Nothobranchius furzeri: one gene and its partner. The protein of the gene in region 1 interacts with the protein of each later gene in a biochemical or structural test. Links are inferred from orthologs where the notes say so. Each region holds a gene or a part of one and is shown on either strand. Other genes may lie near its edges. The genes, in order: apex1 and mutyh.

Evidence for each region.
Region 2: the proteins of apex1 (region 1) and mutyh form a complex in vitro, tested with the Homo sapiens proteins (3 studies listed by BioGRID and IntAct, with this or other methods). The link is inferred for Nothobranchius furzeri from reciprocal best matches to the Homo sapiens genes APEX1 and MUTYH.

What each region holds. Positions count from the first base shown.
Region 1 is NC_091741.1:57,621,345-57,625,791, forward strand, and holds the start of apex1 (DNA repair nuclease APEX1), read right to left. Parts: upstream 3,102-4,447; 5' UTR 3,009-3,101; intron 1,620-3,008; 5' UTR 1,549-1,619; coding exon 1,488-1,548; intron 1,389-1,487; coding exon 1,225-1,388; intron 1,152-1,224; coding exon 959-1,151; intron 86-958; coding exon 1-85.
Region 2 is NC_091748.1:53,458,649-53,463,220, forward strand, and holds the start of mutyh (adenine DNA glycosylase), read left to right. Parts: upstream 1-1,622; 5' UTR 1,623-1,779; coding exon 1,780-1,912; intron 1,913-2,282; coding exon 2,283-2,413; intron 2,414-4,032; coding exon 4,033-4,072; intron 4,073-4,165; coding exon 4,166-4,239; intron 4,240-4,572. UniProt on the Homo sapiens protein: Involved in oxidative DNA damage repair. Initiates repair of A*oxoG to C*G by removing the inappropriately paired adenine base from the DNA backbone. Possesses both adenine and 2-OH-A DNA glycosylase activities.

The DNA of each region.
Region 1 (4,447 bases):
GAGTTCGGCACATAGGCCGTCACAAGGTAGAAGTTTGGGAACTCAGCAGTGATGACTCGGCCCTCTTTGTCATGCTCCTCTTTGCCTGGGGGATTGGAAAGGGATTTTTATGTAATCAAAAATGTGACTGAAGTAAAAGTTCAACAAACATTCTCATTTTTCCCCAAATATTTTAGGGAGTTAAGTAGCACCCCCTATTGTCTTATTAAATCTCTGTGGACAAACCAAAAATTAAAACTTATTTCCTCGCTGTGTGTTCATCTTTTTAAAACCTTAAGCTAACTGAAATGTCTCCTCTGCCTTCATTAGTTTCTTCAGGAGCTGTTCATCACTATATGTAACAAATCAGCTGTGTTCACCATCTAAAACATGCAGGAAACGTGCTGGAAGCAGACTGCAGAGGCAGGTATGTCCGCTCAATTGTTTTTAAGTTTTAAGCTGCCTGCCCCACTGAAGTTGCAAGTGCAGTATTCTGGTCACGGGGGGCAGTGGGGTCTGAGTGATATTTCATTAACCCTGTAAAGCAAGGATATTCAAGCTCATTTTAGTTTTAACTTTATTTCAACACACCTGATTTCAATCAGCAGGTGATTCAACCACTGAATTGAATGTGTTGGAGCAGAGAAACCACCAAAACATGCTGGATACCATCCCTCCAGGCCTAGAATTGAATAGCCCTGCTGTAAAGGGTCAATTTAGCACATACTGGCTCAAGAATGATTTTAAAATATGAAATATTTGCATAGTATCCCTTTAAAAATAGAATCTTTCCAGCTCTCTCAAAAGATAAATTTGTATTTATCACTTCTTATTTTTCCAAAGCCCAAATGTCAGAAATGACACAACATACAACCTGTTTGTTTACCTTTTCCCAGAAACGTGACTTTTTTCCTAAAATCACACAAGAGATATGTTACCAAACCAACACGTCCTCATCCAGAGAAAACATTTCACTCACCAATTCCATATGTTACTTTGACAGGTTCAGTCTTGCATAGCATGGCTACACCACTGTATCCCTCCTTATCATCTGACACAGCCCAGTACTTGTAGGGGTACTCTGGCATTGAGGTGATCTCAGAGGGAAGAGCTTTCTCTGAGCACTTGGTCTCCTGGAGGCACAGAACATCTGGAGCCTCCTCACGCACCCACTGGGAAAATGAAAGTCAACCTTCAGATTGTTTATGATGAGCCTCATGCAGCAAAACTTTTTCTCTAACTCACATCAAGCCCCTTCTTTTTCACCCATGCCCTCAGCCCATCCACATTCCAGGAGGTGATCTTCATGTTGGCACTGCGGCCATCTTTACTGGTCATTTTGTCAGGAGGATCATCGTACAACACCGGTGCCTCTGGTTCTTTAGCCTTCTTTGCTTTCTTTGTAGAAGCTGACACAAAGAAACGAGAAAAAAAAAAAATCACGAGCGTTGAAGATCTTTATTTTCTTCAAAGGGAACAGCAGATTTGTAGGTGTAGCGTTGTTGTACCAGAGTCGGCATCATTCTCGCCCTCTGCAGCTGCCTCTTCTGTCTTCTTGCCTCTCTTCATACTGGAACTTGTTCTAACGGCAAACACACCTTGCAGACACACAGCACGCACACGCAGCAGCACACACGCCGCTGCAAACACAGAATTAGGGTGCAAAACTCTAGAATGCAGCAATCAAGTGCAACACGGAGTGGTTTTCACTTTAAGATGGTTTTGAACTTAAAAAATAACGACCATATGTTTTTGGTTATTACACAAATCTAAAGACAAAGTTTGTTACCCTAAAGCGGGGCCACTGCCTTGCATGTTTTAGCTGTTGCCTTCTTTACAGCATGTTAAGTTCTTCAGAAGCCTGTTGATCACCCTATGATTCAAACCAGGTGTGTTGGTGCAGTAAAACATAGAAAACATGCACGCTGGGGCCCTCAGGGACCAGGATGGCATGGCCCTGCCCCAAAGCATGGGTCTGCAACCTGTGGCTTTGGAGCCACACTCCGACCTTTAGCTCTTTTGAACCGGCTCCTTGTAACTTGGCCATAAACGACATGAACCTGAGTAATGTTTGCATTTAAGATGACATCAAAGATAGATATAGCTCTTAATCAATTTCCTGCAATAAGTACAGTTTCCACAGCTGAATGACACAAAAATGATGAATAAGTAGTTTTTTCCCCATCATTTCCTACAAAGTTGACCTCATAATAAAGTTTGCTTTTCAATACAAAAGAAATCAACATCAGTTATTTGTGAAGGCGAGAAATAACCAACTGCGCTTCTGAACCTATTTTATTATCATTATTTATTTAACCTGTAAACATTATTTTAGGGATCAGACTGTGTGGCGTATTTAATATGAGGTCAAAGTGGTTCTACCATATAGGTTGCAGACCTCAGAACCCTGTCGCACAATTTGTTACACATATAGTTACTGTACGTCACTTTTATTTATTTCATATTAACTCTATATACAAACTGTAGCCATTGGCAGCGAGCCACTTTCCCATTACAACCAGAAGACTTCCTGGTTTTGTGGAGTTAACCAACTTCAACATAAAGCTGAAACCTAAAGGTTGTTTCAAAACCTGCTTGCAGCAGCTTTAAACTCCGCGGGTGCGTTTTAGCAGGACCCTTTAAAATATGCGTAAAGGGGAAATGAGGTTTTGAAGTTTTAAATGTACTTAATGGTTAAAAATATGGGGGACAATGCTGATTTAAGTGTGTTTATGGTAAATAAAAATATTCATATATTTGACAATACAGTTGTAAAATATATAGGGTAAAACATATTGGGAAACGCGTCTGTGCAACACAAGTGTAGCTGAAAACACGCTGTGCTAAGGCTAGCGTGTCTCCATAACAAAGGGCAGCAGGCGGCCTGCACCATGAATGAATGACAGATTAATCGAATCGCAAATTAGGCTTCAAATGAACTTCAACGACTTGCCAACAAATGCAAATGTGCTTAAATTAAAGTCTCATTTTCACAGCATTTCCGGAAAAGAAGATGCAAATAACCTTACTTGTAACAACAGGATGCAAAACCCTAGTAGCAAACGCCGCTCCAGTCACTCCCCCACACACAACAACGATTTTCTTCAGGGCACGTGCTGGTTGGACTTGGTAGCTGCCCTTAAATATGCCTGAAAAATTACCAATAGGTTTCACCCCAAACTTAGGAGAAATAAATACAGCATTTTGTTCAATATTTTTTTCCACTCAGCTGAAAAATTTGTATTTTTTTATTACGATGTGTGGACAAATATTTTCGAAAGATCTTTATTATAAGGCGAATTTAACAGCGCAATATTTGGGTCATCGGAGCTGCAGAAGCTAACCGAGCTGAAATGTTCAACTGGAACGAAAAGTAAAGGAGAAGCAGACCGTTTAAAGTTTATTTGTTTTACTTTATTAACGAGGTAAATATTCTCTGGAATATACACCGCTCGCGTGACAGTTAACGTAGGCGTTTGCCACACAGCTTTGTTTTAACTTTTCTGATCAATTCTGTTCAGAATGATCCTCTAAACAGGTTCTTAGAATGGGTTAATAATATGTAAATGGTTATTTATTTAATTACGTAACTTGTGGGCTGAGTGTGCAGCTGTAGCTAATGGTTTTAGGAATTACACAATTATAGCTTTCATTATGTTAGCTGCTTCTGGGTTGTTGGATCCTTTTGCCAGATGTTTCTTTGCTTTTGAGCAAAAAAGCAGTTTTTGTTCTGGAACTCAAACTAAACTTTGCACATATTTAGTACCTAATGCAAGACTGATTAATGTACTATGCTGGAACCAGTGTGATCTGTTTTTCGGTTGCTAAACTAGGGGACAAAGTCCCTATTATGATTTTTTTTACAGAATGATTAAACCTGTTAAACATCATATGAAATATGGAGTTTTTGACAAGTAAATTTATTTAAAAAAACACGTATAGAGACAAAGGTTGGTTTTACCTCAATGAGAAAAAAATCTTACATTGTTAAAATTCTGATTTGATTTTCGTCTTGAGGGATTGCCGTGTGTGTGTGTGTGTGTGTTTTATCTTGAAAGGCATTATACGAAATTAAAAAAAAGTATTTTTATGAATCTTTTCTTCTCACTTGGCTGAATGAATTAGCATCTTTACATTTCAGATACTGTACCTGGTTACTGTTGAGGTCTGTAGAAAGCTCCTTTCATGTCAGGATCCTCTCCAGCTATTGATCCTGGTTTCTTACTTCCAGGAGAGGAAGACCGGTAACAGTCTTCCTGGTACATTCCCAAAAATGACCATTATGCAGTAGGTTGGTTTTACATTGGCTTTTATAGAAAATAAAACATAGAAAGTAGTACAAACAAGACAATGTGACCCCCTGAGCCCCCCACCTCCATGATCATCAGTCAAAAGGGCCACAAATCTCCTCATGCATCCTTAGCGTAGCCCTCCCCATTTCGTGGCATGGTACATTTCTATTGGATCA
Region 2 (4,572 bases), on another chromosome or scaffold:
CAATCTCTAGGTTTATCTATCCAGCTTACTCAATCTCCATCCCTAAAAAGGCAATTAAAGCTATCAACCAAGTTAATTTTAATTTTATCTGGAAAAACAAGGCACACTATATTAAAAAGGCTAATTTGGTTAAAGATGAGGAAGGTGGGATTAAAGCTTTATATTTCGAGTGTGTTAATGGTACAATAAAAAATAACTGGCTAAAACATTTTTGTTTAAAACAACAATTTCTGGTTTCACATACCAAACCAAATCTTTAACAAACTCAGTGGTATTAAATTTCTTTTAAGGTGTGATTATGATCTGAAGAAGCTCCCCATCAAGCTGTCTTTATTTCATCAACAGGTACTTATGTACTGGAAGATGATTTGCAAATATAATTTCAGTCTGCATGATACTCCTCTCTAGAATTGTAGATGCATCACCTCAATAAATAACTCAATATTTTATCCAAACTGATTGGAAAAGGATATCTGGTCTGTTTTACACTTGTTTGATAACTCTGGAAATCTGTTGTCTCATGAACTATTTAGCTCCAAATTCAAGTTGACTGTCAAGGAACAATATCAGAAGGTTATAAAAGCAATTCCAAGTCTTGTCTTGTCAATCTCCTCTAATTTACATCACAATAACATTAGTCCAAAGCTTCCTGAATTTATGCTTAATGAATGTTCTATTACTGAAAAAAAGTTACCCAATATTGTATTAAGACAGTTATTTATTCAAGAGCTGCATCCATTCTTAGCCAACAGATCATTAGCTTCTCATCTACAATCTTGTGAAATTGAAAAAAAAAAAGCAAGTAGGTTTTTTTTCAAGCTTCCAGTTGCTCCAAAGATGAAAGAAATGCAGTTTAAAATTATGAATTGCGTTTATCCATCTGGAGAGCTTTTGAGACACCGATTTAACTTGGAACATAATGGCTGCTCATTTTGTAATGCAGACATAGAAACCACTGAGCATCTGTTTTTTGACTGTGAATTTGTGAAGACTTTTTGGAGTGAATTAGAGAATTGGTTGGCTTAGAGGCTATGTAATCCACCAAGACTTTCTAAAGAAAACGTGTTAATCGGTTGTTTTACTGCCAAGGACAATATTTATATTGCTTTAAATGTTATAATTATCCATGGAAAATTTTACATACGCAAATCCGTTATGCAAAAACTTGCCTTAATTTCATTGGATTTCATAAATAATTAGTATATTACTTCTCTTCTTTGGAATTCATGAAAGGCTCCAAAGCCTACGCTATGAAGAAATACAAACTAAATGCTAACCCCTAGCAAATTTATTGAATGATGTTTTGCACTTTATTAGTTGTTTTACTTTCATTTAGACTATTTCACTTAATTTGCATTTTATTTATATCATGTTTGTTTATTATTTATTTTCTTTTTACTCAATTTATTTCTCTCGTCTGCTTGTATTTCCAGTTAAGAATGGAATATTGTAATGTGCCATGTTTTGTTGATTTCAATAAACCGATTTAGATCCCTTCTAACCAATCAGAGGCGAGAAAGGCGGGATCATCCTTGGACATCTACGATTCCAAATGACGCCCACAGCGCGTCTACGTCCGTGCGTTCATAGATATGTATATATATAAATATATAAAGATATGTATATATACATGTGCGTGCGTAGACCTGCCGACCGGTTATGGCGTCACACACTTCCGTGTTTACTTACAGCTGATTGGCTAAACGCTGCTTTTTTCCTTAACGTAGTGGCGGGAGGCCGGGAGCCAAAACTCCGCTCTGGTTTTGAAGAGTAACAGCGATGGCCATTACTGAGGGGAGATTGATAATGAATGGGTTACGTTCAGCGGTATCCAAGGGCAAGAGAGGCCGGATGGGGACGGTAGAAACATCAGCCTCTACTCGAAAGAGGTCCAAACAAGCAGTTAAAGAAGGTACGTTCTAATTTCCATCCTGGTAGGCCACTATCCAGCGTGTTTTAGTGGGATCCGTGCTCTAACACACCTGAATTGAGGAGTGAATGTCGTGTTCTGTTGTACACGTCTGATCATCTGCTGTGTGAAATCAGGAGTGTTGAGGCAGAGAAACCTCTAGTGTGCTACACAAACATTCACATAAAGGCTCAGTCATAAGCTCCATCCACTCAGCTGTGTTGAGGCAGAGAAACCTCTAGAGATTTGACTTATGTAATAAGTTCAGCTTGACCCATGGGTTACATCTGACCCAGAAGTTTCAGCGACACGATTCGAAAACACTTTTTAGAATTGGTAAATGTGTTTTGAATTTAAAATGCGTTTCTTCCAGAGGACACCACGCCCCCAGTGCCACAGTCTTCCTTCCACACCTTCTCTGATCCTGCTGATGTTGTGCAGCTGCGCTCCCAGCTCTTGAGCTGGTATGACAAAGAGAAGAGAGAGCTGCCGTGGAGGACTCTGGTACATCCAGGAAATCTTGATTTTTAATACGCATTTGTTTATTAGAGAGAATAGACATTTTCTTGCCATTTCAGGATATGGTAAATGTTATACTAAAGCTGTAAAGGCAAATTTGAAAAACACATTATCTTAAAATATTTTTTCATGCCTCTTGACAACATTCTAAAATAGTATAGCTAGTAATATATTGTGGAGAATAAAATAATAATAATAATAATAATAATAAAGAAAGTGGTTCTCTCCCATTTGTCTGCCAATAACACGTTTTGGACCGAAACAAATTATTTGACCATCCGATTGTCGGTCTTGCTGAACCGCTGCACTTCCCTGCGTCCTCAATCCGTTACTGGTGTGAGAAGTTCTCCGCTCAATAACACCAGAGAAGGATAAACAGCTGGCTCTACCAGTTCAACTTTAGGACAAACTACCAGAGTCCCAAAAAGAAAAACACCATTTAAAGTCACGGACAATAAAAGACGTTTGGGCCTAGAAAACAGCGACTGGTGTTTAGCGCTATCTCGTTTCCTCTGGCGACACATCTCAGGGAGATACCCGAGGGGAGTGGTGAATGTTCCGTGACTGTGTTTGCGTTGTTATTAGGGATGTGAATCTCACGATTTGATTCGATTCGGATTTTTGGGGTGCCGATTCGATTCAGAATCGATTCTCGATTCTCAATTCTCTATTTAAATCGATTCACAATCAGTATTAACGAGTGTCAGCTCCAGGACTAACTACTTTGTTGTACAAGTTAGTTAAAGCTATAGGACGTTTTTATTTGACTTTAAACTGGTCATGCTCCAAAAATGCTAATTTACAATGTAAAATAAAGTGATTCTAAAATTGTAAACAGAAGCGATCTTTTGACCAAAAGGCAACATTTATTTTTGCTTACCTTGTAAAATATAACTAATCTGTAGTTACCTAACAGTAGCATTGAAAGTAATACAGTCAAATACTTTTCAAGTATGTATAGAAACAAGTTACATGAGTAATCCTGAGTACTCATCTATCAACTTAGAAAATAAATATGAGAATATCTCAAATTTCTGAGTATGGAAAAAATAACATTCAAGTGCCCTCTTATCAGCAGATTCAAACATAAATCATCTCAATTTATGGGAGCCCAAAAGTAAACGGAGTACTGACTCCCCTAACAAAGATAAAAAAGTGCATCTCAAACCTGTAACATGCCAAATATTTCAGTTCTTGGAATCGATTCTGAACCTTTGTGAATCGATTCTGAATCTTTATAAATAAGAATCCCGATTCAGACTCGAATGGATTTTTTTCAGCACCTCTACTTGTTATGTAGATTCGCAATAACAGCTTTAAGTGAGTTTTAAAGAGATGGATTCATTTCAGGGTTCTTGTTTCACAGCAACATTTCAACACGAAGTCACAGTAAAAGCTGCTCGCTAGTCAAAATATTCATCCTGTTATAGACACTTACTTTAGAGCATCTATAGGATTATAATCAAATCCATCTGCATCATCCAGTATTCAAAATAAGCTTACAGTGTTCCTTTTGCATATTAGACCATCTCCTGGTTATTTATAGAAGTGACTGTACAGTATAGTTTCATCTGAAAGTAAAACCCAGCCTCTGTTTTTGGCAGGCTTTGGCAGAGTCGGACATAAACATCAGAACATATGCAGGTAAAAACACAGTCTACAAAAAAGAAATGAATGCCTGAAATGCTCTACGTTTCCCTAATTCTTCACACAGTGAAATTTTTATGTTTGTTTTAGTTTGGGTTTCAGAAATAATGCTGCAACAGACTCAAGTTGCCACAGTAAAAGAGTACTACAAAAGATGGCTGAAGGTAAATATTTGCCATGTTTTCAGTACTTGATCTATGTGGTGGGTTATGAGATGTTTTCTGGAGTAAGTTTTTGCCACATTGCTTGAAATACTCTTCACATACTGGTGCTAACTGATAAATTCAATGTTTTGTCAACAAAAGGAACCTCATACAATTGTTGTGCACGTCCCATTACTAATGACTGGATCATGATCTGTCCATCAAACTGTCCTTTCACAGTCCCTCCCCCTGCTGCACAAACCCCTCTATGTGCACAAAAGTCGTGTTTGCAGCTTGGAGCAACTGAACAGGAAGTGAATCCAGTCCTGTGCTGCCTCGGACCAGAATGTTCTG